Linked DNA regions of Cricetulus griseus. Each later gene encodes a partner of the first gene's protein in a complex. Links are inferred from orthologs where the notes say so. Each region holds a gene or a part of one and is shown on either strand. Other genes may lie near its edges. The genes, in order: Vamp2 and Stx8.

Evidence for each region.
Region 2: Vamp2 (region 1) and Stx8 share a complex: the UniProt entries of both Homo sapiens proteins name them as parts of the SNARE core complex. The link is inferred for Cricetulus griseus from reciprocal best matches to the Homo sapiens genes VAMP2 and STX8.

Annotation. Positions count from the first base shown.
Region 1 is NC_048600.1:82,956,462-82,972,488, reverse strand, and holds Vamp2 (vesicle-associated membrane protein 2), read right to left. Parts: upstream 10,818-16,027; 5' UTR 10,675-10,817; coding exon 10,673-10,674; intron 10,173-10,672; coding exon 10,052-10,172; intron 9,600-10,051; coding exon 9,441-9,599; intron 9,350-9,440; coding exon 9,298-9,349; intron 8,686-9,297; coding exon 8,669-8,685; 3' UTR 7,835-8,668; coding exon of another isoform or gene 7,824-7,834; 3' UTR 6,975-7,823; downstream 1-6,974. UniProt on the Homo sapiens protein: Involved in the targeting and/or fusion of transport vesicles to their target membrane. Major SNARE protein of synaptic vesicles which mediates fusion of synaptic vesicles to release neurotransmitters.
Region 2 is NC_048600.1:81,825,527-81,841,735, forward strand, and holds the start of Stx8 (syntaxin-8), read left to right. Parts: upstream 1-6,500; 5' UTR 6,501-6,618; coding exon 6,619-6,635; intron 6,636-9,412; coding exon 9,413-9,512; intron 9,513-16,209. Other genes in the region: Cfap52 (cilia- and flagella-associated protein 52), read right to left, coding at 5,643-5,718. UniProt on the Homo sapiens protein: Vesicle trafficking protein that functions in the early secretory pathway, possibly by mediating retrograde transport from cis-Golgi membranes to the ER.

The DNA.
Region 1 (16,027 bases):
TCCTACTTTTCTAGTTAACCCTACCACCTTAGGTAGAGAACACACAACAACCAACAACATACAGTTCTTCCTCTACTCCCTGTCTAACCACACCCCCATCCCAAGTATTTTCTGAGCACCAGGAGAAAAGGGAAGGCTGTGGCCAACAGCAAGAACTAGCGCTGGGAACAGGATGTTCCAGCATGAAGCGGCTGACATCACGACAGGCATGGGGCCAGGAACTGGACGGAGGAAGGACGGGGCCAGCAAAAACCAGAAGGGGTCTTTGTGCCAGGGCAAACCCGAGGACCCCCAAGTGACAAGAAAGGGGTAAGGAGCCATGCTCGCTAACGGTCTGTTGTTGGGCTTAGAACGGCTGCGATGGAGAAACAGAGCAGGAGGTAAGGTGAGCGAATAAGAATTAAACAACCCGTGAAGGGTTGAGTAGTAGAATACCTAAGGGTCCCAGGGGCGAGGAAAGGTGGACAGTAACAAGAAAGGCGGATTTCGGTTTTGCTATTCTAGCAGTCAGAGCTGAAAGTGACCCACCACATTGGAGGTAGTGGTAGCCAAGCTCCGGGACAAAGACTAGCCCTAGGATTGCAGCAGAGATCCCTACCTGGCCGTTCGAGCGCCCTCCAGGAGCCTGCCGTTTCAGCCCGCAACCGAGAAGCTCCGAGAGGCTGGGAGGCGGGTTGCATAATGCCAGGCCCTGCCCCTCATTGGCCTTCTGCCCAAAGAGCCGCAGGCCCCGCCCCCAGTTGGCTAAGGCTCTCTCCCTGGCACCCGATTGGCTACTAGCTCCCACTGAGGTCAGGGCTGTGTCACACACATCCTTGCACGTGGACTTGGGTGCTGGTGCTGGGCTGAAGGGCCTCAGTCAGCCAATGAGCTCAGGATGCCCGGCGCAGTGAATAATGAAAGGGAAGTGATAGACGGGGAGCTACCCTTTTCAGGGAAAACGTGTGGGCCACAGTGGGCGCTCAAGAGAAACCTACTTCCTGAACTGACCAGCCTTGCAGAACAAGACACCTGTCCTGGAGCCAGTTGAATGAAATGTCTGATACCCATGGGAAGTGGGAGAGAGAAAATCTAGACTGATATTCCCCGGCTTCTCCCTCAACCTTGTCATAAAGAATCTAATCCCTTCCTCTGACACGTCAGATTCTGGGAGAAGGGCAATTGAGGGTCCACGTGTCATTAAGGGGTGAGTGGGTGATGGGAGGACACAGATAATGGAAAGGGCAGCGAGAGCCAATGGCTACTGTGAAAGGAAACAAAAGCAGGTGCTTCGATGGCCAATCAGAGAAAAGGTCTCCAGACAGCCTACTTGGTGACTAGCGCTGCCTCTCTGCAGAGGATGCAGCCACCCACATTTAGGGCTGCCCCACAAGTGGGGGGGACAGGAAACCAGGACTACAAAGGGGCAGCAGAGAGGGCAGTTGAGGCCCTAGGCAGAAAAAGATGAGGTGGCAAGGGCTTTCTTTATATTCCTGCGGCTTCGGAAAAGCAAGCTAAGGTTCGAGCAGCAAGCTCATCCAGCTCATTTACTGTATTCTCAGCAGTAATGCAAGTCAGTCAGTTTGTGTCAGGACCTGACACACAGCAGACTGGCGCTAAACATGATGACTTTGTTTCTATCAAGGATAGGTAAGGGAGAGGGAGCCTCGGGAGGACGGGAAGCAACAAATTACAATTTTAAAAAGAAAAGTAGAGCACTGATTCATAAAAAAGAGAGCAGGGGCTTGATTTGGAGGAATAACGTGCCAGTCTGGGTCTATCCAGACCTGTGCTGAGCAGTTCTTCCAGGGTTCCCTGGAAACCTAGATGGCAGGTGAAGAGGCCACCAAGCAGCTGCTGACATAATCAGCTGTAAGTGCACGCCCCTCTCTGTCACGTGGCTAAAGCTTTCCTTAACAATAGTGTTTCCCTTGGAGGAGGCGGAGGGGCAGGGATTTGTAAAAAAGCTGGGACACAGAAGTGTTATAAAATAACCCAGAAAAAAAAAAAAAAAACAGAAGCAGGAAAACGGAAAACAAAAGACACAGGCACCTGAATCCCCAGCTTCCTCTTCCTGAAAATGATGCTGCTTTCCTGCCCCCTCGTACTGTGTGTGACCCTGTTCTCTCCTTTTTTTGTTTTCAGACCCCTTTCTCCCTCCACAGCTCTCAAGGATTTAGGTGTGATTCCTCTGACCCAAACAGCCATTGCTCACCCACCTCCGTATCTGCCATTTACACAGACAAAAGGTTCAGCACTCCAACAGCCCCCACCTAGTCCCAAGGCCCAGGTTGTCAGGTCTGACGGTCCCCACAGTAACCAGGCTCTGCTGCCGTCAATGGAGAAGAGGGGGCGGGAGACAGTGGTGACGTCAAAGCGGAGGAAGGAGGCGGGGCGAGGCAGCCGGGGAATGTGGGGCAGGGAGGCTGGAGAGGCAGCGGTTTGGGAGGCAGCCAGCCCCAGAGGGCGGCGGCCAGCGCACTAGGGAACATCGTGTTCTCTTGGCTGGTGGCCCAGGACATGCACTCAGACTTGGCGCCTCCCCCAACCCAACGACAGCCGTCCTGTACAAAAGCCAGGGATTCCTGGAGAGACGGTTAGGAGAAAGGGGTCCCCCTTCCCTACCCCCATGCCTGGCTCTCTTTTCCGGACTTGGCGTTTGTGGGCCCCCAGCTGGTTCTTACAGCTCCTGGCGTTGGCTTTTCCCTTTCACCAAACTGTACACAGCTGCTGGCCAGGTACCAAAGAGCCACCGCGGGTAAATCGGAGGCCCAGGTTCAGAGAGGGAACGCGCACCTTTGCTCCTTCCCAGAGGCCCCCTTCAGAGGCGGAATTTCTAGTTACTATTACAACACAGAATGGGGGTGGGTTGGGGAGAATGCATTTAGAATAAGGAAGTCAAACTGGGACAGTGCAAGTAGCCTCAGTCTGGAGCCCAGATCTTGGGAGAGGAATACAGGGGAGGAATGATGGAATTTGGGTTGGTGCCTGCAGACCAGAAAAATCAGGAAGAGGGAAAAGAGGAGTCATCAAAACTTGCAGAAAAACAGAAGATGAGGGTTAGCTCTATCACTATTGCTTAGTTACCTTATAGTTTGTGTTTTAAATGACCCAAGCGTGGGCTTCGTATTTTATGTATACTGTTTTTTTAAGCCCCAAAACAACTGAATGAAGGTAGCTATCACTCTTATTTCATGAGGGATAACTAAGACTTAGTAGTCACTAAACTTGCCTTAATTGTCTGCTTCATAAACATGTTCTCAGCTTCTTAATAATGGAGCCCAAGGTTCAAGCTCTGATGATGTCTTGTCCTGGCTTCTTACCCTCAGGGACCCTCTGAAAGTGTTACTAACCCTCTACTCTGCATTCCAGCACCGTCAAACCAGGACTTCTCACATATTTCCCTAGTTCTAAGTTTGGTGCCTAGAATACAAGCTTCATCCAGTTCCTTCTTCCTTTCCGCATGATCTAAAGGCATTGTTTGTACTCCACACACACCACCACCGTTCATTTTTTTTACTATGCTCAAAGGCCTTGAAATCATCCGAGAAGTCTCCAGCCACTATTACAGGAACCTGTAGGAACCTCACTTCCTCCCTCTCCCACCTCAACCAGGCCTGTCTAGACAGCAGAGCAGCCTTTTGGTGCCTCCTCACCTCTGGCAAGTCGAGAAGAGTGGGCAAGCCGGTATATAGAAACCCTCTACCCTATTCTCCCTTTCAGAATCCAATAAATCGCTAGCTCATTTCTGTTTACAAGCATGTACCTGAGACCCCAACGCTATCCTTTCCACGTGAAAAAGTAACCCATGGTCGTGATGAGATAGCTTCCGAGTCACACAAATCAGCACACCAACCTTTCTCAGAATACCATCCCACATTCCCACCTGCCCTACCAGGGCCTTTCTCCAGGCTCAGACTCTGCCTCTCCAAGTATTTAGGGAGCCTACCCAAACCTTAACCAACTCTCAGGCGTCCTATCGCAGGCCCTTCAGCTCCCTCGGGTGGCTGAGGGCTTCTGAGCACTCTAGGCTAGGCAATAGGGTCTAGGGACCCTAGAGAGCTGAGAGATGTATGCTAGTAACTCCCATCCATGTTCCCCTAGAGCTGAGTTTGCAGTCCACAACCGTCAAGCACTCCTATTGCAACCATCGCGCATTTGCATGATCACGCACACACACACACACCACGCCACTGACACCCCTTTTGGCCGAGCAATCCTCCCGGGAAAAACCCATTTCGACCGCCCCAGAGTAGGGGGCTACTCACAGTTCCGATCGCACGCAGAATCCAAATTTCTTCACTACTTGGGAAGCTACTCCACAGGCTCCTCCAGGCCTTCCCACTGCCCATTCTGTCACGCCTCCCAAGCTTATTGGCTTACAGGCGCCAACCCATGCCCCGCGCCGCGTGCAGCCGACAAGCCCCTGCAAAGCCACCATTGGCACTTCAGGGCGCAGTCATCTTACCATTGGGCAACATGACAACCGGTAGTGATAGAGCCACGTGAGGGAGGGGGCGCCCCAGCGCGTTGATTGGACATCTGACCGGAAGCCACACCTCTCGCCCACTCCCAAAGCTTTTATTGGCTGTGGAAACAGCCCCGCCCTGCCTAAATCGGTGACGCAAATGCCAGCCCTGCCCTAAAAACTTTCTCATAGGCTGAGAGGTCTCGGAGATGTAGGGAACACGTGCGGGCCGGCTCACGCGGCAACTTGTTTACCGAGAAGCTGGGGATTTTCCTTGACGACACTTACCCAAGACTGTGGAGTCTGCGCAGGCCTGCCGAGCGACTTGTACGCAGGCGTAGATGTGACAGGCTATGGCGTAGTGGGGATACTTAGTAGAGACCCTGCCAAGACAAGAGGCTCCTGGTGCCCGAGTTTTGTGTCTCCGATTATCCCCAAAGCTTAAATCTGAACATAAGAAGAGGTCTTTAGATTGCATGACGATGATAGTGAAAATGACAGTCGCCTCCTGTTTTCTGTATCAGACGCTTCTTGCAGACTCCTGATGACTACTCATAACCTCACAGAGACTGAGATGCAGGGGTTACATAATCTGTCAGAATTCCCATGTTAACATGTTGATTTAAAAGCTCTGACACCGTGAAGGTAGGTCGGTGTCTTAGGCCTATGGAAACCTTAAGCCTAGAAGTAATTTCAGGGATTAAATGCAAAAAGCCTAACGTATTTAAACTCTCCCATAAAGATAGAAGTTACGGTGGAGTATTGCTAAATACAAGACACCTGGGCACCTTAGAACCTCTAAAATAATGTCCAATGAAAGGGCCTGAAAAAAAATTTTTTTTTGGTTTTTTTTGTTTGTTTGTTTTTTCAAGACAGGGTTTCTCTGTGGCTTTTGGAGGCTGACCTGGAACTAGCTCTTGTAGACCAGGCTGGTCTCGAACTCACAGAGATCCACCTGCCTCTGCCTCCCGAGTGCTGGGATTAAAGGGGTGCACCACCAACACTGGTGGGGAAAAAAAATCTATTTTTTAAAGTACCTCTAAACCGGGCAGTGGTGGCACATGCCTTTAATCCCAGCACTTGGGAGGCAAAGGCAGGCAAATCTCTGAGTTCAAGGCCAGCTTGGTCTACAGAGCAAGTTCCATGACAGCCAGGGGCTACACAGAAAAACCTTGTCTTGAAAAACCAATTTAAAAGAAAAAGTACTTCTAATAGTTCTTATTTCTTGGTCAGGTTTGTTATAGCACATGCCTTTAATCGAAGCTCGAGGGAGGCAGAGAGGCACTTGAAATCAAGGGCAGCCTGGTCTAATAATGAGTTCCAGGACAGTCAGAGCTTCATAGTTGAGACCCTGTCTGCCCCCCCCCCAAAAAAAAAAACCCAAATGTTATTTTATTTTATTTAGACAGGGTCTCATTATGTTGATCAGGCTGGCCTCAAACTCAGAAATCAGCCTGCCTCTGCCTCCTGCATGGTTGATTAAAGGCGTGCACCACACATGGCCTTCTAGCGGTGGTTTTTTTGTTTTGTTTTTTCAAGACAGGGTTTCTCTGTGGCTTTTGGAGGCTGTCCTGGAACTAGCTCTTGTAGACCAGGCTGGTCTTGAACTCACAGAGATCCACCTGCCTCTGCCTCCCGAGTGCTGGGATTAAAGGCGTGCGCCACCAACGGTCAGCCTAGTGGTGGTTCTTAGCCATTCAATTCTCTCTCTCTAGGTTCAACTGCCCTGAAGAGGCAAGAGTCACCATCATCCACCAAGTACCCACACACAGGCAGTGACTAGTCCCTCATATCCTGAATATAGAGAACAACCAGAAACACTGCCTCTTTCCTATACAGCTACATCTCTTTGATGCCCCTAAAGTGTATACATGGAGACAGTGCTTTGAGAGTTCAAGAGAGGGGCTAAAGTATCAATCCCACAGGCTGTAGAGATGGCTCAGAGGTTAAGAGCACTGACTGCCCTTCCAGAGGTCCTGAGTTCAGTTCCCAGCAACCACACGGTGGCTCACAACATCTGTAATGAGACCTGGTGCCCTCTTCTGGCCAGCAGGCCTATATATAGACAGAACAGAAGAACAGTGTATACATAATAAATAAATCTTAAAACAAAATCCCATAAGAGTGCAAGGGAGGTATGCCATTTTATGCCACAGCTGGCTTTGTCTCATAAGGGTGACCCTTTCATGCATTCATCAAGCCATCTACAGAAGTAGCCCAGGAGTGGATGGCTATGAAAGAGCCTAAGGGGTAACCAGAGCAAATTTTAAGAGATAAAGGAATTCAATGGTAGCAGCATACTCCAGTTCACCTGGCTTAGATCCCATGTTCTTTAGTGATACTTTCAATTCTTGTCTCCTGGTGCCCCACATGGCCACTTTGTGAATCACACTTTGCAAGGGTCCAATTGGGGTCAGGGCGTGCAGCAACAGGCCAGCTCCTCCCAGTGAATCTTTTCAACCACCCCACTATAACTGAAGATTCAATACTCTTACTACTGGTTAAGAAAGAGATTGTAGACACCACCTGGTTACTCATTACACGTTTATTGTACATTTTCACAATCTGGATGCGCCACAGAATCGGGGGCATGGGGTAGGGGAAGAAGGAAGGCAGGGGACACTGGGATAATATTGGGGGTCTAGAACACAAGCACCCCCACCCCCAGCATCTCTCCTACCCTTTCACACCACAGTTTAGATCTCCTTGGTTCCCCTCCACACAGAAAACCTTTTGGGGGAAGACTCTGGGGATACTCCCCACCCCAGTGGCAGGTTAAGGAGCTGTATACCCTCAGACCCCTAAAACTGTGCCATTTAAAAAGATCAGATCCTTCCTCTGTCATTTCACCCAAAAAGGGAATAGCTTGCACTCTCTCTCTCTCTCTCCCCCTCTCTCTCTGGGCTCAACAGCCCTGGAGAAAGGCCAGGATCCCCATCATCCAGCAAGTCCCATACACATATTGGCAGTGACTAATACCCCCGCCCTGAATACAGGGGGGCAGTCAAAGGAGCTGGGCAGTGATGGGGGCAACACCCCTCCCCAGATTGGGGAGGAAAGTTTTCAGTCCGACCTCTAGCAAGATGAGGCCAGAGGTTTCAGGCAGGAATTGGGGGGATTCTATTTTGTCCTACTCCTCCCCAAGGCAGTGATGACACACACACACTGGAGCCACCCCTCCTCAAAGAATCAGATTGTGGTCAATCCCCAATTCTCCTGGTGGGAGGAGGAGGCAAATCAGGCAGATGGGAGGGAGGGAGACCCCCTGGGAATGTCAGTTGAGTGCCCCACATGAAAACTGGGGAGCAGGAATGTAGGGAGAGACTCCGAGTGGCAGAATTATTGGTCCATCATGACACACTGAACTCCAAGACACTTACACACCGGCTGGGGGGAGGGAGAGGAGGGTACAACAGGTTTGGAAAATGGGGTAAAGGAGGTAAACTAGACTAGAGGGGCTGGGAGGGGGCAATTCTGGGGCCCAGAGCCTGGTTCCCCAAAAGCCCAGGCTCCCCACCACCTGCAGGTAATGTCGTGCAAATGAAGTGTGATTAGAGGACCAATGGAGACTAACTCTTCAGAAAAGAAAGGAAAAACAGAAGAGTAAAGAGTGGTGGAACAGAAAGGAAACTAAAAGGACATTATGCAAGTGATAAGCTAATTAATATATTGGAAGCTCCCAGAAAACCTTGGGATTCTGGGATTCTTAGGACCAAGTGGGACCAGTCTCAGAGCTTTCCAAGGGATTCAAAGATGCAACCTAGGGAAGCCTGGACAGGTAGGAGTGTTTGTTTGTTTCTGTGGAGTTTGCTTTTTGTCTTGGGAGGGTCAGGAATTGTTTAGGGAAGCTAGGGGAAGGGTCAGTTAAATCCAAGGGAAGAAAAGGGGCTATTGCATAGCAGATGCAAATGAAGGGACTTAGGGCTATCAGGAGAAGAGGAAAAGGGACAGAGGATGAGAGAGAGAGAGGTGAGGGGAACCTCAGGAAGGGGTGTTAAGGACAACCGGAAAAAATCTTCTAGTAATAAAACTACAAACAGACCAAATATATATAATATTATATATGTATAAATAACAGCTGGCTATTTACAGGGGGCACACACACGGACACACACACACACGGATCCAAGGGAGGGGGGCTGAAAGATATGGCTGAGAGGTGGAGGAACGGCTGGGGGTGGGAGAGAGGCCCTTCTTAGGCAGGGCAGACTCCTCAGGGATTTAAGTGCTGAAGTAAACTGTGGAGAGAGGGTAAGAGGAGGACGAGGGAGAGGGGTAGAAAGAGAAAGAAAGCAGCGTGTCAGGCCTGGCCCTGTTCCAAACCTCCCCACTCCCCCACTGTCTGACATCCCTTCCCCTCTCTGTCTCATTTCTTCATCTATATAGCAAAGGGACTTGATAAGTGGGTATTAAGATCCTGTAAACTCCATGATAGGACAAAGGGGCACAAAACTTTTAATCTACTGGGCATGTGACTACAAATGCTCAAATAGTGAAATAGTTGGTTTCCTGGTGGTGTCCGAGCCCCTCAACCCTTACTGTCTCCTGCTCCCCAGTTCTAGTAGCCCAGACTGGGCTCTGAGGCCCAAATGGTTCTTAGTAGAGTGCCGGGGGTCCCACCCAGTATTCCTATTTTCAAAATCTTAACAGAAATTATCCAGAACTAGGCAAAGTAAGGCTAGACAAGAGCCAAGTGCTTTGGCTCTTGATGAATCAGAATTGCCAATAGCAGCAAAATGTGTTTTTGTTGAAGAGTAAAAACTAGGTTAATGACCTTCAAAACCCAGAATCCACAGGGAAAGCCTCTACCTCTCCCGGGAAAGGGCCCTGGCCACTCCTGCCCCACTCACCGATGATGATGATGAGGATGATGGCGCAAATCACTCCCAAGATTATCATCATCTAGGAGTGAGAGGGAGGGTCCATGAGACCAATGGTGACACCCCAGTCACCCACTGGCCCTCCTACCTGTCCCCATCTCCGTCCCCCTTACCTTGAGGTTTTTCCACCAATATTTGCGCTTGAGCTTGGCTGCACTTGTTTCAAACTGGGAGGCCCCTGCCTGGAGGGCATCTGCACGATCATCCAGCTCGGACAGCTTCTGGTCCCGCTCCAGGACCTTGTCCACATTCACCCTCATGATGTCCACCACCTGGGGGAGGGGTCCACGAGGCAGGGGGTGTGCCAAGGCACGCCTCAAGGAGGGCACTTCTTGAACACGTGCCCATGTGCCACACATGGAACATGCACCCCGATGTTTCCAGGCTAACATGCCAAGGACATACAAAGAACATGCCTAGCACACCTGGGGACATGCAAGGAGCACACATCAGGGGCATGCTGCAGCCATACACCTCAGCTACCACAGCAACACCCTCATCTTTGACCAGAGCGCACCTGCCCCAGCTGGCACACCCCAAGCTAGCACAACTGATTATCACCCCACAGCCCTTCCAAGTGCATGCTGACAGGGAAACGGAGCTGGGACAAGGCAGGGCTCTGACCCAAAACCCACAAGCGTGAAAACTGTCATCACCTTCAAGCCAAGATGGGCTCCCACACCTATTTGCCAGTCCCATCATCTTACACTTTTGACACACTCACCTCATCCACCTGGGCCTGGGTCTGCTGCAGTCTCCTGTTACTGGTAAGATTTGGAGGGGGTGCAGGGGGGCCACCCTCGCCGGCCGGGGCGGCAGGCGGGACGGTGGCAGCGGTAGCCGACCTACGGAGGAGAAACGGATTAAGATTCAGGGCCTTTGGGCCCTGCGGCCGGGGCTCCACCCATCCACCTGTCCATCCATAGTCCCTCCAGTCCTCCCTTGCGGGAGGAAAGCCACCCGATGGGAAACCCAGCCATTCTACGGCCCCGCTGCGGTTGAGCTGCGTGACCTTGAGAGACCCTCCTTATGCCTCAATTTCCCCGCCGGTTAAAGGAAAGCGACCTCAGAGATGCTGCCCGGGGTCGACCCGAAATGACTGACAGCCATGGTGGCTGGGGCGGGGCGGGTAGACGCTGGGTCCGCTCCCTCCTGCGGCCATCGCCCGTGCCAGACCGCCCGGGACCGGTTCCGGGCGTCCAAGCGCAGTCACGGACACCAGCCCGGTCCGCGGCACGAGAGGCGCGGGCGGGACCCCCGTGTTTCCCGGCCCACTCCTCGGGGTGGCGGCCCGCGCGGGGCAGAAGGTAGAGGGTGGCGAGTGGCGGGCGGGCGGCCGACTTACATGGCGGGGGCAGCGGGCAGAGACTTGGCAGAGGCAGTGATGGCGGCGGCGGCGGCGGCGGCGGCGGCGCGCGGCGGCTCGCACTGGCTCCGACTGGCGCTGGCTGCCCGGGACTGGAAGATGGCGGCCGCACGTCACCCGCATCCGGGCACTGCGGCGGGGGCGGGGCGCGGCAGGCGACACGTCGCTAGCGGACCGCGGGGCGGGGCGCTGCAGGGGCTGGGGTCGTCTAGTCGGCTCTGTCGACCCTACGATGTGGGCCTGGCCCGCAAGCCCACCGCCATCCCCCAAGGCATCTGCCACCTGCCTCTTTTGGTACCCACAACCGAGACCCACACCTCACCCCTAAACTACACCCTCCCTCATCCCTGAAGCTGATACACCGGTCCTTACCTCACACAGCCTAAGGTCTCGCCCTACAACTGGTCCCAACACCTGGTGACCCGCCCTTAGCTCCTGGAAAGGGTGGATTTCCCTCAGAGTGGAAAATGAGAAGCGGCCAGGGCAATACTGACAACTGGAATCCTGACGCTGGGGTTGGGGAGTTGTGAGAACTGACCTCACCCATCATCATCACCCTGCAACTGAATGGCTCAAGGGAGGTCTCGGGCCTCTGATTTCCTAGCAGGGTATGAGCAAAAGGAGTAACAGAAGACAACCCCCCCGACCCCCCCCACACACACGCATACACACACACACACACACACACACACACACACACACACACACATGCACAAACATACACACACTAAGAACTGTGAAAGCTGCCCCTCCTCACAGATAAAGTTCAGACCAGGTGTCCTTGGAGGGGGCCCCACAAAGATGAGACAAACTAAAGACTCCAGGAAGGGCAAAGGCTGCCTGGAGGTGCTGTGCCTCCTGGTAAGCGCAGGCTGGTCCCCGACTGGGGTCAACTGCCCAGCCTTGACAGAACCAACTGAATACATCACACATGTAGACAGTCAATAAATATTTGCTCAATGGCTTGATCTAGACAATAGAATAGGAGATTATCTTAGACCTGGTCCATCCCTGACTGCTCCATTTTAAGTACGCTAAACAGCCACAGCAGCTGCACACACTCCCATCCTACATCTAGAGATAGGACCAGGGAGCCAGCTGTCTATTTAGCAAGCCTCCGGGGTGAAGGAGGCACTTTAGGGGAGGACTAGTGACTCTGAGGTGGGAGTATTTATTACATCCCCAAAAGAGCCTTAATCTCAAAGACAGGCAGGGTCTGGCGTCCTTCCTCCCACTCCAGGGCCTCCGGGGTGTGAGATCCTCCTGTGCTGCAGCAGTGCCCCACCCCCTCTCAGCAGCCGCCCCAGGACCGGTTGTGTCGTGAGAGGTGTTATTTCCCAGCTGTCTGGGGGAGGTGAATGAGCAGGGGAGTGTGTGCTGGGGCCGGATTCGCTCTTGGCTGCCTCCCTCTCCCAGGAGAAGCCATGAGCCTGCTCTTCGTGAGGCTGAGCTGGTGAGAAGAGCCGCTTCGGTGGGGGGGTCTCAGATCAGCCGTGAGGCTCTAGTTTTCTGTCCCTGAGACCCCCTTTCTAATCAGAGAACAAAGATGCCAAATTCCATTATTTCAAGTTTAAATGTTTTAGTGTCTAGATAGGAAACATCCTCGAGAGTGGGAAAAGAGCAACTGTAAGCAGAGCCCCCCACACAGCCCAGCTCTGCCTCGACTGGAAAGGAAACAGTAAGATCTCAGACTCTGGTTTAGGGACGATACTCATGTTGTCTAGCCAATTGCAAAGGGCAGAGGTTATGGAAGAGACAAGAGTCACAGACAAACCTGGGGAGGTTAGGCCTAGTCATATCCCTGGGAAAGTTGTTCTTCCCAGGGGATTCTGGGGACAGCAATAGCAGAGTTAACAGTGGAAAGGACCCAGTAGGACTCAGAGAGAGAACTGTCACTGTACAGCCCAGCCCAGCCCATCTCCACTGCGGTGTTAAGAAATTCTAAATTTAGATCAATGCTGGGGGTGGGAGGAGGCTGCGGTGGAACGACCCGGTTCACCTGGAAATGTGTAGAGAATGTTTTCTGCAAACAGTACGACTGAGACTCAGACTTGAGCCGAAGCACAGGCAGTATTTGGATAACGGAGAGCCTTAATCTCAAAGGGTCTCGTCTACATTTGCCTGCTTCAGGGGATTGACAGTTGAGTTGCTAGGCCCAGTTCTTGAAGCTCTTTTTATGCTTAGTGGTGCATGTTCATAACCCCTGCGCTTGACGGTAAAGTAGGAGAATTCAGAGTTTAAGATGGGTCTGCCAAATGAGATACTGTCTCAAAACAAGCGAAAGACTGGGGCTTGGAGAGATGATGGTTCAGTGGTTAAGCTGCCACGTGGTGGTGGTGGTGGCACATGCCTTTAACCCCAGAATTCCGAAGGCAGATCTCTCTGAGTTCAAGACCAGCCTGCCTCTGCCTCCCAAGTCCTGGGATTAAAGGCATGGACCAACACCGCCTGGCCCAAGGTTTACTCCTAAGAAGCTCCTTCAGGGTTCTGATGTAGGCCATACAGAGGTCACACTTTAATAAAAGCTTGCTTCCATTGTCATCCTCTTCACAGCGTTTTAAGTTGGGGCTGAAGGGGGCTGGATCATTCCCACACTGACTCATGAACTCCTTCCATCCTCATGAGTCAAACCTTGAGAAACCAGTGATTAATTTCTGGGACCTTATTGTTTGTCCTCTCAATACAGCTCTCATCAACTTTTAGATTGTTTCCAATTTCTTGCTATTACAAGCTGTACCCTTATGAATGTTGATAGCATTTGACACACTGATACATTATTGACATATTTGGGCAGAGCTAAGCTTAGAGCATTGCTTCGATGGGGTCTTTTTTTGATTTGGTTTGGTTTCATGTTGACTTTTCCTCACAGACAGGAAGGTTTGGTTTGATTCCTTGCTTGTGTTTGCAATGTTGGGTGTTGAAATCAGGGTCTTGTGCATTTTAAGAAAAAGCTCTACTATAGGATGTTGCCTCCCAGCCCTATTGGCATCCCTTCGGCAAGTCTTTGTAGTAAGGATAACGTATACACATAAAAGTCACACCTTGTGGCTGGAGAAGAGGTGCTTGCTGATCCTCCAGAGGAGCTCTGTTCCCAGCAACCACAGTAGGTGGATCACAACTACCTACAACTACAGCTCCAGGGGATGAAGCCCTCTTCTAGAAAATATACCCACACAAATAATAAAAGTATTATCTTGTGGTGTTTTTTGATTTAGGTTTTTTTTTTTTTTCCTTTCTGTTGTTGTTTTGGTTTTTGAAATAGGGTTTCTCTATATAACAGCCCTGGCTGCCTTGGAACTTACTTATATGGACCAGGCTGGCTTTGAACTCACAGAGATCTGCTTGCCACTGCCTTCTGAGTCCTGGGATTAAAACACCACACCACCACTCCTAGCTATCTTGTTTGCTTTCAAAATTGCCTTATTTAGCCGGGTGGTGGTGGCACACGCCTTTAATCCCAGCACTTGGGTGATAGAGGCAGGTGGATCTCTGAGAGTTGGAGACCAGCTTTGTCTACAAGAGCTAGTTCCAGGACAGCCTCCAACGCCACAGAGAACTCCCCCCAAAATTGTATTATTTATTGGGAAATCATATGTGGTCATCAAAGAACAACTTAAAGGCTTTTCTTTCCTTCCACCTTATTCTGTGGCTGAACCCAGGTCATCAAGCTTGGCAGCAGGTCCTGGTGAATCATGTCACTGGACCCATTTCTTTGTTGAGACATGGTCTCACTGTATAGTTCAGGCTGGTCTACTGAATTTTGGAATTACAAGCCTATATCATGGCACCTAGTTGTTTTAAATGGTATCTGTTTCATCTGTGTAGTTTCCCTACCCAAATACAAAGCACCATATCAGGAGTGAAGAGTACTAAGTAAGACTCAAAATAAATAAATAAATAAATAAGTAGGGAAAGTGGTGGTGCCGATCTTTAACCCCAGCACTCAAGGGGAAGGCAGGCAGATCTCATTTTGTTGTGCCAAGTTCTCAGAGCCCAGAGACTAACCCAAGGAGTTGACACTCTGATGCAAAAGCAAAAGGTTTCTTTTTATTTCAAGCTGGCCAGCTAGGATCTCACTGCATGTCAGGCAAATGAGCCAAAAAGAGAAGCTTTTAAAGGGGCAGACCATAAGGTTGAAGGCCACAAATTACAGAGTTTCCATGGTTACTTAAGGTCATACAAAGTACAGAGTTAGTCAGTAACTATACATTTTAAGGGAGATACATTTGACTGAGATAAGACAGGGCATGAGCTTGTAGGATTGCAGGGTCACAGGGTCTGTCAGTTATCCCCTGGGTTGGGGGATCTTTATGGCCAGTAATTAGCAAAGGAATGTTAACAGGAGTGGTGGACAGTTAGCTCCCCTTCTCTGAGAGCATGGGATCAGGCGACAGCCATGGCACTCCTGATTTAAGGAGTTAAATTTTCCTTTTCCATTAGACGTTTCCTTTTCAGGGCTTAAGTTTTTAAACTTTTATTAATTTTAATTTTTGGTACCTCAATTTGAGTCCCAGGCCATCCAGGGCTACATAGTGAGACCCTGTCTTTAAGGAAAATAAAGTTGTCAGGAGGCAGAGACTGGTGGATCCCTTTGAGCTGGAGGCCAGCATGGTCTACAGAGTTCTAGGACAGTCAGAGAGCTGTTACACAGAGAAATCCTGTCTCAAAAAAAAAAAGAAAGAAAGAAAGAAAGAAAGAAAGAAAGAAAGAAAGAAAGAAGGCAGGTGGATCTCTGAGAGTTGGAGACCAGCTTTGTCTACAAGAGCTAGTTGTAGGAAGGAAGGAAGGAAGGAACGAAGGAACGAAGGAACGAAGGAACGAAGGAAGGAAGAAGAGAATGTTTTGTTTTGTTTTGAGTGATAAAAATAGTTTATTAAGAAAAAAAAAAACACATGCACTCCTTGAGGGTGAAATTGAGTTAGTGACCTGGACAGACAGACACTCAAATGTCATTTTATTTATTTATTTATTTATTGAGACAGGGTTTCTCTGTGTAACAGGCCTTGGCTGGTCTGGAACTCACTCTGTAGACCAGGCTAGCTTTGAACTCACAGAAATCCTCCTGCCTCTGCCTCCTGAGTGCTGGGATTAAAGATGTGTGTCACCACCACTGAACTTATTTTATTTCTTATTACAATTTATTTATTGTATTTGTTGGGGGCGGGGGGGGGGTGTCAGAAAACAGCTTGTTGGAAGTTGGTTTTCTCCTTCTACCGTGTTGATACCAGGGATTAAACAAAGGCTGTCAGGTTTGGCAGCGTGCAGTTTACAAGCTGAACCAGCTAACCAGTCCTGTGCTTTTATTTTTTTAAAGTTTCTTAGGACCTGGTGTGG
Region 2 (16,209 bases), about 1.1 Mb from region 1:
TGCCAGGAACACTGTCTCGTCTCTCTCTCTCTCTCTCTCTCTCTCTCTCTCTGCCTACTGCTTGTGGATAAGCTCTTAGCTACTGCTTCTGCACTATGCCTGCCTGTCTCCTGCCATTCTCTCCACCACAATGGTCATGGACTCACCCTCTGAAACTATGCACAAGCCCCCAGTTAAATGCTTACTTTTGTAAGTTGCCTTGTTCACAGTATCTCTTAACAGCAACTGAACAGTAACTAAGACAGGTGCATATGTCTTCAGTTACATAGTGTCTAAGTTGAGGCTTCTATGACTGTGTAGAGACACCATGACCACCGCAAACATATAAAGGAAAACATTTAATGAGGGCTGCTTAGAGTTCAGAGGTTTAGTCCATTGTCACCACGGTGGGAAGCATTGCAATAGAACAGTAGTGCTAGAGAGGTAGCTGAGCGTTCTAAATACGGATCTGACATCAGTAGGAAGAGACTAAGACATACTGGGCCTAGATTGAGCATCTGAGACCTCAAAGCCCACCCCAGTGACACACTCCCTCCAACAAGGCCACTCCAATAATGCCACACCTCCTAATAGGGCCACTCCCTGTGGGCCTATGGGAGCCATTTTCTTTCAAACTACACATAGTTAAGATTCTTGCAGCCAGACATTGGTGGCACATGCCTTGGGAGCACTTGGGAGGCAGAGGCAGGCAAAAGTTCGAGGCCAGCCTGGTCTGCAGAGCGAGTTCCAGGACAGGCTCCAAAGTGAAGGAACCAGCTTCCCTTTTGGCAGCCATAACAGCCGAACACGTGCTTGCCATAAACCTGCCTTGGTCACTTAGAGGTCAGATGCCTGTCTCGTGACAAGGAACCTTAGTCACTTAGAGGTCAGATGCCTGTCTTGTGACAAGGAGCCAATCAGAGGTTAGCTGGTGGCGCTATGCTTTATGACCCTGGGTGTGCTTTACGGACAAGCGCACAGCAATGATGTAGAGAGCATAGCAACCACCCTGGGAGGGCCTATGGGCCATAACAACCAGTTGACCAATCAACACAGGGCAAGCCCTCCAAGCCTGGAGGCACACCAATCGTGAGCCTGTGCGTACCCCTAGACTGCCCTATAAAGATCCCCTTACGCTGCCCTATAAAGATCTATGCGCAGCAGCTTCAAGCCGTCTTTTCTAGCTGTCCGCCATGGCGGGTGGGTGAAAGACCCGAGCTAACATGGGGTTAGCTCGTTAAATTACAATAAAGCCTCGTGCAGTTTGCATCAAGCTTTCGCCTGCATTCTGTGTTTGGGGTGGCCGCCGTCCTGGACTAAGATTCCGGAAGCCTCAGCTTTCTGAGGGTCTTACAAAAGCAATACAGAGAAACCCTGTCTTGAAAAAACCAAATTGATGGGACCAGCTCCCCTTTCGGCAGCCATAACAGCTGAACACGTGCTTGCCATAAACTTGCCTTGGTCACTTAGAGGTCAGATGCCTGCCTTGTGACAAGGAACCAATCAGAAGTTAGTTAGTCACTAGAAAGTCAGATGCCTGCTTCGTGACAAGGAACCAATCAGAAGTTAGCTGGTGGTGCTATGCTTTATGACTCTGGGTGTGCTTTGCGGACAAGCTCACAGCAATGACGTAGAGAACATAGCAACCACCCTGGGAGGGCCTATGGGCCATAACAACCAGTTGACCAATCAACATAGGGCAAGCCCTCCAAGGCTGGAGGCACACAAATAGTGAGCCTCTGCGTACCCCTAGACACTCCCTTTACGCTGCCCTACAAGATCTCTTGGGAGGCCCTAGGAGTTGTCTTTTGTGAGCCATCCACCATGGCAGGTGGGTGAAAGACCCGAGCTAACATGGGGTTAGCTCGTTAAATTACAATAAAGCCTCATGCAGTTTGCAGCAAGCTCTCGAATCTGCCTGGTGATTGGGGTGACCGTGAACGTAGCCTGGGACCCTGGATACCTGAGTTTTCTGGGGGGTCTAACAAAATAAATAAATAAATAAAATTGTAAAAAATTCTTGGTTGCAAACAAAGAGAGTCAACTCTGGCTAAATAGAGAAGAAAAATAATTTCAGGAAACACAATCAATATATGTGAAAAGTGGGCAGTAGTAATGAGAAAGCAAGGCCATACCATAGAAACTAAACTATCATGATCACAATACTGGGCAGTCAAGGCAAGATTTTAGGCCCACAGTGCATGGCTCCTTCAAGAGGGGAAATTTGTGTGTGTGTGTGTGTGTGTGTGTGTGTGTGTGTGTGTAGGCAGGCCTGAGGTTGAAGACAGATTGTCTTTTTCCATTGGCTCTCCACCTTATTTTTTAGGATAGGGGCCCTCAGTGAACCTAGAACATACTGATTGGTTGGACTGACTCTGTCTGTCCTCCCTGAGCCTTCTAGTCCTAGGGTTTCAGATATCCACCACTGTGCTCAGCTTTTTATGTGACTGCTGAAGACCCAAACTCAGGGTCCTTATGGCTGTGCTGCAATCACTTTACAAATGAAGCCAACTCCTCTTTCTAAAGGTGGTGCAATTTATACTTCTAGCAATTGCAAATGAAAACTCCTTAGTCTCACCTTTGTAAGCATAATCCATATATTTAGCCTTTGCCAATGTGAGAAATAAAAAGTGATGTCACTTTTAATAACACTTTTAGGTTTTATTTATTATTATTATTATTTATTTATCATTTTATTATTATTATCAGCATCATTACTATTACCATTATCTATTTTAGGAGTTTAGCTTTTTGGTTTTTTTGAGACAGGGTTTCTGTCTCCAGCCTTTACCAGGTTTTGACCTGGGAGGAATGACAAACTAAGCGAGTTGGTTCTGAGTATATAAGTTTTACTTCACACTTATGGTCAAAGTAACACACACACACACACACACACACACACACACACACACACACACACACACGCATAAGCAAACAATCCTAAGAACCACAGACAATAGGCTCATAGCAGGGGGTTACCTCTCCTGCAGTGGCCTCAAGTTTGGGGCTGGGACTTAGGCTCCTCTGAATTCAGGCTGCCCAGTCTCTTGAGGTCGTGCTGTTGGGTTTCAGAAAGGGCGGCTCTCCGTTTAATAGACTGGTTGTTTCAGGTTAGTGGAGGAGAGCTCCAGGACGTAGAGTCGTGGTACACTCTAAAATTCCCAGTTCTGAGCTGGTCCCTTAAATAGCTTGCTAAATCTTGCTAATCACACTTTGCCACACACCACACATTTTCTCTGGGTAGTGGGCCTTATTCCCTTTCTTTTAATCTTTCTTCAGCCAGGCCTTTTCCTGCCTGGTCACAGCCTCCTCACAGTTTCTCTGTGGCTTTGGAGAATGTCCTGGAACTCACTCTGTAGACCAGGGTGATGTCTAACTCACAGAGATCGCCTGCCTCAGCCTCCTGAGTGCTGGTATTAAAGGTGTGAGCCACAACTGCCCTGCTGAGTTTAGCTTTTTATAGAGAGCCAGGAAATAAATATTTTAGACTCTTTGAACCATACAGTCTCTGTTGTTGCTACTCATCTCTGCTAGAACAGTGTGAAAGAAGCCATAGATTACACCAGGCATTGGTGGCACATGCCTTTAATGTGCTGGGATTAAAGATGTCCACCACCCTTTCCAGCTTGCTTTCAATTTCAGATTAGTTCCATGGAAACTCTAAGCTCCATTACCTAGTGTTTAAGGCCTCTGATCTCTGAGCCCAGGTTCTGTTTCTTGTCCTAAAGCTTCAAGCAAACTATTTGCTATTCATTAAGCAAGCCCTATGCTGTCTATTTCCCCACATTCCTCCCCTATTCTGGCTATTTGGAATCATCTGCACCCCAATCCTTAGTCACTGATTGTCCTATCCTATTTTAAGGACTATTTAAATTCAAAGAGGTCACTCTTTCCTTGACTTCCTTCAAGTCTTCAGTAAAATGCTTTCTGCCATGGGCTTAAGAAAGTCTCAGCAAAAAATGAAGCGTGCATACTGCTCTTGCAGAGAACCTGAACTCACTTCCCAGGATACTCACAACCACCTGTAAGTCCACCTTCATGGGATCTCATGCCCTCTTCTGGCCTTCATGGGTATCCGCACTTACATGCCCATCCCCCACCCAATAAACACTGGAGAGTTGGCTCAGCAGTTAAAAACAATGGCTTCTTTTCCAAAGGACTCGGGTGTTTGATCTCTAGCAGTCACATGAGCCTCACACTGGTCTGTAACTCTAGTCCCAGGGGATCTGATACTGTTTTCTGGCCCCCGAAAGTAAAACATAAAGCACTCATACAAAGTAAAAAAAAAAAAAAAAAAAAGAAAAAAAAATCAACCTTTCTTCCAAATTTTGATAAACCTTTCCAATTCATTCTTCTGATAGCTAGTTAGTATGTGTCTTAGGAATTCTATTGCTGTGACGGAATACCATGACCACGGCAATTCTTATAAAGGAAAAAACATTTAATTGGGGTGGCCTACATTTTCAGAGGTTTAGTCCATTATCATCGTGGTGTGACATGGTGGCGTGCAGACAGACATGGTGCTGGAGAAATAGCTGAGAGTCCTACGTCTTGCAGGCAACAGGAAGTGGTCTGTCTGACTCACTAGGTTTGGCTTGAACATACATGAGACCTCAAATCGGCCTCCATAGTGGCATATTTCCTCCAACAAGGCCAAACCTTCATTAGTGCTACTTCCCTTTGGGTGCCATTTTCTTTCTAACAACTGCATTATGTTAGCAAGAATTCCATTTCAGATCTCTGCCTGTCTTTGCACTGGCTCACCAGATGTTTTTGCAGTTCACTAGGGGTCACTCCTTATCAGTAATCTCCATCCATCTCTAAAGACCATGCTGGCTCAGATACAGGAAATGCTGGCTTTCAGTTAGAGCTGTAGAGTACAATGAAGACTCAGGAACTAAGGTCCAAAGTGCTTAAAAGTTTACTCAGTAATCGTTCTGCACTACATTCTTACAACTAACTGTAAAGCTTCCAGGCATCACAATTCGATTTTTAAAAAGTTGGTTTTACCCCCAAAATTTGATTCCGCGACTCCCGAAACACGACCCCTCCCCCATCACAGCAATTTCTGGCATTGTTTATGACAGCCACAAGTAATGACAGCGGCCAGGCCTCTCCAGAATCAACAAGGACTCTCCCTTGGCGGTCTCCCTTTACGTCCTCTTCCCTCCCATCCCTGTCTTTTAAACCTTTGAGAGTCCTTACTTGGGACAGAGGACACAGAGCACCCCTAGAGCAGTTCCACCTAAGGCCTTTCTCAACTGTAGATCAGCAAGGGGTGTGGAAAGGTGTTTTTTTGTTTGTTTGTTTGTTTGTTTGTTTGCCCCAGGTTGGGTGTTACCCGGGGATGCATGGGGGTGGGGGTTGGGGGAATATTCAGAGCCAAGGACTGCTCCCAGGGGTGCGTGTGTGTGCGCGTATGAGAGAGAGAGAGAGAGAGAGAGAGAGAGAGAGAGAGAGAGAGAGAGAGAGAGAGAGAGAGAGAGAGAGAGAGACTGAGTTAGGCACATTCCAATTTCTGAGGCTCGGGAATGAGGCTAAGATCCTTCATCACCGTGGGTGATGCCTGGCTAGGCTCTTGCCACTGTCCCCACGGCCTCTCAGGTGCCACCAAGTCAGTGTCTCACTTGTCCCTGGGGTATTATGGATGCTCCAGGCCTCACCATTGAAGCCGATCACAGCCTCAAGCTCCAGTTCGGCTACGTCGGTCTCGGTTTCGGGTAAATTTTGTTCTTCCATCTTGGAGAATTTCAACTCATTGATTCCTCAACTCCTGGCTGCAGCGTCTTTTGGTCGTTATGGTAACTGGCGCACGCATGCGTGCTAGGTTTACGCTGGAGCAGAAATCCAGCCCACTGAGTTCGACTTTATTTACCTTTTTGTAAATGTAGGGAGGGCTTCCTTATTATTTTTTTCACTCATTCTAGAAATTTAGGTGTTAGGTGAATACTGAATATGCAGAATGAATTCCCTCGTCTCCCGTGTAAACTCTGACTTTTGTCTTAACTATAAAATTAAGCCTCTTATGGTAACTATTAAAAGTAATTGAACACAGAGAATTGCCTCTGATGCGTAGGCTGCTATTAAAAAACAAAACAAAACAAAACACGGAATTGATACCTCCTTGTAAAAGAATTCTTTTTGAAAAGATCACTTTAAAAATTTAAGTACAGTATGCAACTATTTTCATGTATGTATCACTATGAACGTTGCTTGTATGAATATTTCCGGCTTCAACCTTCCAAGCACGGCAAATTCAGGCGCGAGGTATCACAGCCGGCTTGCTCTGTTGTTTTTGAATCAGAAAAAAAGAAAAAAAAAAAATGCGAAGAACTACGAGAGCCGGAGTCTGAAGCGCTTCCATCCCTGGGAAAAGGTTTTGATTCTGCTCAACAATTTAACCATTTTCCTTGCGTCCAGCAGTTCGTACGAATTAACTAAAAATCGATTGTTGCAATCCACTGTCTCCCAGGGGTGAGCTTTGGTTGGTGTGGTTTTGAGGCCCCTAAAATATGTTTTCTGTGCTGTCCGCTGGGCTCGGGTCGCGCACCTTCCGAACTGCGGGGAATGAGCCGCGCGGGCCGCCGTAGTCAGCTGCTGTGAGCAGGAAGTGTCCCAGCTGCAGGCGGAGACTGCACCATGGCCCCGGACCCCTGGTGAGTTGCTGGTGTTGGCAGTAGTTTGCCGTAGGACTTGGGGTGGAAGTGGCTCCCAGGGATTCGCATAAACCCTGGCCATCGTTGAACTTGAGGCTGTCAGCTTTTAGGGGTGAGCAAAGCGGGTGAGGATCCTTTCCCTGTTTTGGGGACCCAACCACATCCCGCCTCCCCGGCGCTAACTCGGTGGTCGGAGGGGGACACCGTGACCTGGGGGAGCTGGGACTTGAGCAGAATCGATATTTTCCCCCGCCTTCTGTGGGGGCTTCTCGCCTAACCTGCCTGTGGATGACTGCGTGTGTAGACTCCCCTGGGGTCCTGTAAAAGTGAAGTAGAAATAACCTTTTGGTGGGATGTCTCTGCCTTCACCCATTAATCCCCAGAAAGGGAAGAAACTGAGGTTCAGACTCCATGGTCCCCAGCCAGTTAGTAGTTAGCTGGGCATAGGTGTAATGGGCTCTTCACAATAAGACTTGTAGCAATCTGGGAGGGAAGTTTGCACTTGTGATAGGCAGTTTACCCTTTCCTGTGTCAGTATCATGAAGACTTAACGTCAGCAAGAACTAGTGCAAAAGTCAGCACCCGATAAGGGCCATTTATTCAGCAATGAAGCCCCAAGGAAAGAATGAAGAAAATGTGTTCACACAAGGAACACATTGCTATACAGTCTTGACCTTCCTGTTTAATAATTTATAACATTGTATTTCTATAAAGTTCTTGTTGGAGGATATGCCTTATGTGGGTGTTTCTGGTACAGTTTATAATTGTTTGATGGCAGACAATTTTAAGTATTAGGAGAGTGGATCCCAAGGTCAGAGTTAGAGTTACCTGGGATTTGAGATATTTGGGCTAGTTGCTGAAATTTTCTTGGGCTTTCATTTGTTTGTGTGCTTTGTTTCCATTGTCTCAGAGAGCCCAGTCTGACCTTAAATTCCTGATCCTCTTGCTTCAGTCTAAGTGGTTCGATTACATGCAGCCACCATGCCCAGGAAATTGCTGAATTTAACACTTCTTACTCCCCCCCACACACAAGTTTCAACAATTGTGTACACCCCTGGTAGAAAATTTGGAGACTACTGAGTATCTGCAGGAAAGAAAATAAATAGCATCTTCATCATTTGGAAAGAACCAATGTTAACTTCTTTTGAAGACTTTTATTGTTTGAATCTATATCCTGCTTGTATTTTACACAACAGGAAGCGTGTCTCCATATCATTAAGTAGTATTTAAAAATGATTTTTACATGCATATCAGTACATCATCTGAATGTTCATATATTTCAGTTTTTCTCAGTGGTAGAACTTACTACATGCAAGGCTTTGAGTTTGGTCACCAGCAACACAAGAAAGCTTTCAACTGTCAAATGAGAAAGCCACTGAGTAAAACAATTGAGACTAACAGTAAAAGAGTTCTAATGCTTCAGTGTCTTGGGGTAAAATTCCCCTGAGTCAGATCTCATTAGACTACTGTGCCAAGTTCTGTAGAAACTGACCTCTGCTAATCTGTCCTATTTAAATGTACCCTGCTAACAGGGCCAGTACTTGGTCAGGCATGCTTTCTTCAATTCTTCTGTGCTTGTGCTTTCCATGGTGTTTAGATTTCACCCCTCCTTCCAGTATGGAAATCTGCTTTAGTCTGGAAGTCAGCCCAAGATGTCCTCTTGCAGCCCAGCCAATCTGAGCACCTCTGACATCAGTAATGTCTCCCATCCTAACTCCAGAGGTACTTAATTTAGGTCTCGTATTTGATGGAATTGTGTTATGGATTTTATATGTTTGATCTGCCCTTACAGAGCAAGACTAAGCTCCTGTCTTCATAGCTGATAGTGTGAAGGCAAACAAGTAAAATGTGGGGAATCCGGGGCTAGGACTATTTTCCTTATTGCCTCTCTTTTTAAAAAATTTTATATATAAGCCAGGTGGTGGTGGCAAACACCTTATATCCCAGCACTCAGGAGGCAGAGGCAGGCAGATCTGTGTGAGTTTGAGACCAGCCTAGTCTACAAGAGCTAGTTCCAGGACAGCCTCCAAAGCCACAAAGAAATCCTGCCTCCAACACCCCCCCCAAAAAAACATATATAATATATATTAACCACCTGCTCTTTTTCATACACATACCTATACCTGAATATACTGAATGATGCATATTGATGTATATGTGAGTCTAGGGTTAGGGGTGACACTGTCTCTGAAGTGCTTGTGAAGTTCACAACAAAGTTCTCTCTGTAGGACCTGGAGCCACATCCCCAGCCCAAGTTAAACACTTTTCTTCTTTCTGATGCTGGTGATTGAGTCTCGTGCACTGAGCTATGCCTTTATTCACTTTTTAAAAAAGTTTGAGACGTTTCGTTAAGTTACTTCAACCTTACGGTCTGCTCCTTTAAAAGCTTCTCTCTTTGGCTTGTTGGCGTCTCATTTCCCCACCATGGAGTGAGATCCAAGCTGGCCAGCTTGAACAATAAAAACAAACCTTTTGCTTTTGCATCAGTGTCTACTCCTGGGATTGGTATGGGACTCCTTGAACCTGGCACAACATTTTCTTTTCTTCTCTCTCTCTCTCTCTCTCTCTCTCTCTCTCTCTCTCTCTCTCTCTCTCTCTCTCTCTGTGTGTGTGTGTGTGTGTGTGTGTGTAGACCAGGCTGGCCTTGAACTCACAGAACTCTGCCTGCCTCTGCCTCTGCAGTGCTGGCATTAAAGGCCTGTGTCACCACCACACCCAACCAGGACTTTATTTAAAGAACTTTAAACCTCTTCCTCTTTGTATGACTTTGATTTCAGGTTCTCCACATATGATTCTACTTGTCAAATTGCCCAAGAAATTGCTGAGAAAATTCAACAACGAAATCAGTGTGAAAGAAGAGGTGAAAAGACACCTAAGGTAATACCCTTAGAAGAGTTAATGTTCTGACCTTAGACGTCTGAAAACATATCTAGATCGGGGTCATGCTCTGTGTGTGTGTGTGTGTGTGTGTGTGTGTGTGTGTGTGTGTGTGTGTGTGTGTGTGTGTGTGTGTGTGTGTGGTGTACATATGCACGAGTACCCCAGGAGTGTGTTTTGGTATGTTGTATCTAATTTTCTTTTCCCCCAATTTGATAAATTATGACTGGTCCCCTAAAATATAAAATAGTCTATATTTCATTCACTGAATTTTTTTGTTTTAGTTTTTTATTTTTTATATATTTGAATTACAAACAAGATTGAATTACAAGACAATCCCAGTTACCTTCTCCCTCCCTTCCTCCCCTACCACCCCCCCCCCAACTAAAATCCTACTTGTCATATGTCCTTTCTTCTAATCTATACCTGACTCAACCTTTCTGCTTCCTCATGACCTCTGCATCCTTCCTTTTCTTCCCTTTTCACTCTCGTATCTTCCTCCCCCCTCTTCCCATGTTCTCAATTTGCTCAGGGGATGGTGACCCTTTCCCCTTCTCCAGGGGACAAAGTTTGTCTCTTTTAGGGTTTTCCTTGTTTACTAGTTTCTCTGGCAGTGTGGATTGTAGGCTGGTAATCCCTTACTCTATGTCTAAAATCCACTTATGAGTGAGTACATGTCATGTTTGTCTTTTTGTGATTGGGTTACCTCGTTCAGAATGGTTTCTTCGAGTTCCATCCATTTTCCTGCAAATTTCAAGATTCCATTGTTTTTTTCTGCTGAGTAGTACTCCATTGTGTAAGTGTACCACATTTTCTCCATCCATTCTTCGGTTGAGGGGCATCTAGGCATCTAGGGGTTTCTGGCTATTACAGATAGTGCTGCTATGAACATCGTTGAACAGAAGTCTTTGTTGTATGAATGTGCTTCTTTTGGGTATATGCCTAGGAGTGGAATTGCTGGATCTTGTGGTAGACTCATTCCCATTTTCTTGAGGAGTCGCCATACTGATTTCCAAAGGGGCTGCACAAGTTGGCACTCCCACCAGCAGTGGAGGAGTGTTCCTCTTTCTCCACATCCTCCCCAGCATAAACTGTCATTGGTGTTTTTGATTTTAGCCATTCTGAGAGGATTAAGATGGTATCTCAGAGTTGTTTTGATTTTCATTTCCCTGATGGCTAAGGATGTTGAACTTTCTTATATGTCTTTCAGCCGTTTTAGATTCCTCTATTGAGAATTATCTATTTAGTTCTGTACCCCATTTTTTAATTGGATTGTTTGGTGTTTTGGAGACTAGCTTCGTGAGTTCTTTGTGTATTTTGGAGATCAGCCCTCTGTCAGATGTGGGGTTGGTGAATATGGTTTTGTCTTGCTGACTGTGTCCTTTGCCTTACAGAAGCTTCTCAGTTTCAGGAGGTCCCATTTATTAATTGTTGATCTCAGTGTCTGTGCTACTGGTGTTATGTTCAGGAAGCAGTCTCCTGTACCAATTAATTCAAGGGTATTTCCCACTTTGTCTTCTAATAGGTTCAGTGTGGCTGGGTTTATGTTGAGGTCTTTGTCCATTTTGACTTAAGTTTTATGCAAGGCGATAGGCTTGGGTCTAACTGCAGTCTTCTACATGTTTGCAACCAGTTATGCCAGAACCATTTGTTGAAGATGTTCTCTTTGTTCCAGCGTATAACTTTGGATTGTTTGTCAAAAATCAGGTGTTCGTAGGTGTGTGGGTTAATATTAGGGTTTTCAATTCTAATCCATTGGTCTGTCTATTTTTGTGCCAATAACAAGCTGTTTTCAGGACTATAGCTCTGTAATAGAGCTTGAAGTCAGATGATGCCTCCAGAAGTTCCTCTATTGTACAGAGTTGTTTTGGCTATCCTGGGTCTTTTGTTTCTCCATATAAAGTCGAGAATTGTTCTTTCAAGGTCTGTGAAGAATTGTGTTGGGATTTTGATGGGGATTGCATTGAATCTGTAGATTGCTTTTGGCAAGATTGCCATTTTTACTATGTTGATCCTGCCTATCCAAGATCATGGGAGATCTTTCCATTTTTTGGTATCTTCTTTAATTTCTTTCTTTAGAGACTCAAAATTCTTATGGTACAGGTCTTTCACTTTTTTGGTTAGTGTTACTCCAATGTATTTTATGTTGTTTGTGGCAATTGTAAAGGGTAATGCTTCTCTGATTTCTTTCTCCACCAATGTGTCATCCGTATATAGTAGGGCTACAGATTTTTTTAAGTTAATCTTGTATCCTGCCACTTTGCTGAAGGTGTTTATCAGCGGTAGGAGTTCCCTGGTAGAGTTTTTCGGGTCACTTATGTAGACTATCATATCATCTGCAAATAGTGAGAGTTTGACTTTTTCCTTTCCGATTTGTATTCCCTTGATCTCCTTTTGTTGTCTTATTGCTCTAGCTAGAACTTCAAGGATAATATTGAAGAGGTAGAGAGTGGACAGCCTTGTCTTGTTCCTGATTTTAGAGGAATTGCATTGAGTTTCTCTCCATTTAACTTGATATTGGCTGTTGGCTTGCTGTATATTGCTTTTATTATGTTGAGGTATGTTCCTGTTATCCCTAATTTCTCCAGGACCTTTATCATGAAGGGGTGTTGGATTTTGTCAAAGGCTTTTTTGGCATCTAGTGAGATGATCATGTGATTTTTTTTTCCTCAGTCTGTTTATATGGTGGATTACCATTGATGGATTTTCGTATGTTGAACCATCCTTGCATACCTGGGATGAACCTTACTTGGATGGATGATTTCTCTGATGTGTTCTTGGATTCAATTTGCCAATATTTTTTTGAGAATTTTTGCATCAATGTTCATGAGGGATATTGTTCTGTAGTTCTCTTTCTTAGTTGTGTCTTTGTGTGGCTTGGGTATCAAGGTTATTGAAGCCTCATAAAAAGAGTTTGGTAATGACCCTTCTGCTTCTATTGTGTGGAATACTTTGAGGAGAATTGATATTAGCTGTACTTTGAATTTCTGGTAGAATTCTGCACTGAAGCCATCTGGCCCTGGGCTTTTTTTGGTTGGGAGACTTCTAATGACTGCTTCAATTTCATTAGGGGTTATGGGTCTATTTAAGTTGCTTATCTGTTCTTGATTTAATTTTGGCAAGTGAAATCTGTCCAGAAAATTGTCCATTTCCTTTAGATTTTCAAATTTTGAGGAATATAGGTTTTCAAAGTATGACCTGATGATTCTCTGGATTTCCTCTGTGTCTGTTGTTATGTCCCCCTTTTCATTCCTGATTTTATTAATTTGCATGTTCACTCTTTGTTGTTTGGTAAGTTTGGATAAAGGTTTGTCTATCTTGTTGATTTTCTCAAAGAACCAACTTTTTGTTATATTGATTCTTTGTATTGTTCTCCTAGTTTCCATTTTATTTATTTCAGCCCTCAATTTGATTATTTCCTGGCGTCTGCTCCTCCAGGGTGTATTGGCTTCTTTGTTTTCTAAAGCTTTCAATTGTGCTGTTAATTCTCTAGTGTGATTATTCTCCTGTTTCTTCATGTGGGCATTTAGCTCTATGAACTTTCCTCTTAGCACTGCTTTCAAAGTATCCCATAGGTTTGGGTATGTTGTATCCACATTCTCATTGAATTCTAGGAAATCTTTAATTTCTTTTTTTATTTCTTCCTGGACCCATGAATTGTGCAATTGGGTGTTACTTAATTTCCATGAGTTTGTAGGTTGTCTGTCGTTCGTGTTGTTGTTGAATTATAATTTTAAGGCATGGTGGTCCCATAAGACACAGGGGATTATTTCAATATTTTTGTACCTGTTGAGGTTTGCTATGTTGCCAAGTATGTGGTTGATTTTAGAGAAGGTTCCATGTGTCGCTGAGAAGAAGGTAAATTGTTTTGTATTTGGGTGGAATGTTCTATAGATATCTGTTAAGCCCAATTGCGCCATAACTTCTATTAGTTCTTTTGTTTCTTTGTTAAGTTTCTGTCTGGTGTTCCTGTCCAGTGGTGAGAGTGGGGTGTTGAAATCTCCCACTATAAGTGTGTGCGGTTTTATGTGTGATTTGAGTTTTAGTAATGTTTCTTTTACAAACGTGGATGCCTTTGTATTTGGGGCATAAAAGTTCAAAATTGAGACTTCATCCTGATAGATTTCTCCTGTGATGAGTAGGATGTGACCTTCTTCATCTCTTTTAACTGATTTTAGTTTAAAGTCCAATTTGTTGGATATTAGGATTGCTACCCCCGATTGTTTTTTGGATCCATTTGATTGGAAGATCTTTCCCCAACCTTTAATTCTTAGGTACCATCTGTCTTTGAAGCTGAGGTATGTTTCTTGTATGCAGCAGAAGGAAGGATTCTATCTTCTTATCCATTCTGCTAATCTGTGTCTTTTTATAGGGGAGTGAAGACCATTAATGTTGATGGATATTAATGACCATTGATTATTGTTATTCTTGTTTGTTTTTGATTTGGTGATGGTGGCGAGATTATGTGTGGGATTCTATCCATTTTTCCTTTTGGCTGCTGGTAAAGTGGGTTTATCTATTGCCTATATTTTTCTGGTTGTAGTTAACTTCCTTGGGTTGCAGTTTTCCTTCCAGAACTTTCTGTAGGGCTAGATTGGTGGATATGTATTGTTTGAATCTGGTTTTGTCATGGAATATCTTGTTTTCTCCATCTATAATGACTGAAAGCTTTGCTGGGTATAGTAGTCTGGGCTGGCATCCATGGTCTCTTAGTGTAAGTACAATATCTATCCAGGACCTTCTGGCTTTCAGAGTTTCCATGGAAAAGTCAGGTGTAATTCTGATAGGTTTGCCTTTATAGGTTACTTGACCTTTTTCTTTTGGTGCTCTTAATATTTTCTCTTTGTTCTGTATGTTTGGTGTTTTGGTTATTATGTAGCGAGGAGACCTTTTTTTTTTTTGGTTTAGTCTATTTGGTGTTCTGTAGGCTTCTTGTATTTTCATTGGCATGTCTTTCTTTAGGTTGGGAAAGTTTTCTTCTATGATTTTGTTGATATGTTTTCTGTACCTTTGAGTTGGATTTCTTCACCTTCTTCTATACCTATTATTCTTAGGTTTGATCTTTTCACGGTATCCCATATTTGCTGGATATTTTGTGATAGGGATTTGTTGGACTTAAGATTTTCTTTGGTTGATGAATCTATTTCCGCTAGTGTGTCTTCAACTCCTGAGATTCTCTCTTCCATCTCTTGTATTCTGTTGGTTATGCTTACATCTGTAGTTCTTGATCATTTATCCAGCTTTTCTATTTCTAGAATTCACTCAGATTGTGCTTTCTTTATTGTCTCTAATTCAGTTTTTATGTCTTGAACTGTTTCCTTAAGAGATTTGTTGATATCTTGTATTTTTTGGTTTGTTTTTTCTTCCATTTCTTTAAGGGATTTTCTCATGTCCTCTTTGAAGTCCTCTATCATTTTTCAGAAGATGCTTTTAAGGTCATTCTTTTCTGGTTCATCTGCATCGTGATGTTCAGGTCTTGCTGGTGTATGCTTCCTAGTCTCCGGTGGTGTCATATTGGGTTTTCTGTTGTTGGATGTGCTTTTACCTTGTCCTCTTCTCATCCTTTCTTCTGGTGGGTGTAGCAGGAGTTTCTTGCTCTCCTGGTGGGTATGGGACCAAGGTTCTCTTCTGGTAGATGCAAACAGATCCAATACTCTGATGTTGGTCCTCTTCTCGTGGATGGAGGTGTTACTGTTCCCTGGGCGTCAGCAGTGTTCAGGCATCAGCAGTTGGAGGCCGAACTTGGTCTGGCGTGCAGGTCACTGGTGTCAGGTGACTCTGAGCCGTGATGAATGGGAACCGGAAACAGCTCCTGGCGTACCTGGGCCGGCGGATGGATGCAGGAATGCCTCTGGGTGTTCGGTGTTTGGATCCCGCCGCCGATCTCCCATTCACTGAATTTTTATACAGTTGCAGTGTTTACACTGTTGGCAGCTGTTGACATCATATTCTTGGATTTGTGTGTATATGTGTTCTTGAGTGTTTGTGTGTGTGTGTAAGCCAGAGGTTGACACTGGTTGTTTTCTTTTGTCATTTTTCTATCTTGTCCTTTTGAGGCTGGGTTTGCCATTGAACCTGGAGCCCACAGACTGACTTGGCTAGATTGGCCAGTTAGCTCCAGGGTTCTTGGTTTCCCCCACCCACCCTGGGTGCTGGGGTACAGATGCTTCTATGCCTGACTCAGGCTCCTGTGTGGCTGCTGGGGATCTGACACAGATTCTCATGCTTGTGCACCAAGCACCTTACCAAGAAATCCCAGCCCCGTGTATTTTGTTTATGATAACCCCTTATCCAATTGTTTAGGCAACGTGGAGAACTCTTACCTCAACCACAAACAGATTAAACAACAAACCAAAGAAATAAATGCAAGTGTTTTATCATGTGCACAGTATGATATGCATGCCCCTTTATTTTGCATATGTATCATTTATCTTATTTTTATTTGTCTTGTTTTTATTTATATTTCATTATATTCCATTTGTCTTATTTTTATTGTCATTTGTAATTCTATTTATTTATTTTTAAGTTAGGGTATTGCTGTGAAGCCCAGACTGGCCTGGAACTTGCTGTGTAGTTCAGGCTAATGTTAAATCCATGATCCATTGTCTCAGTCCCCTGAGCACTGGGATTACAGATGTTTGGCATTTCAGGGTAATTTTATGAAATATCACTGAAAAAATTTTGTGTCTTATCTTAA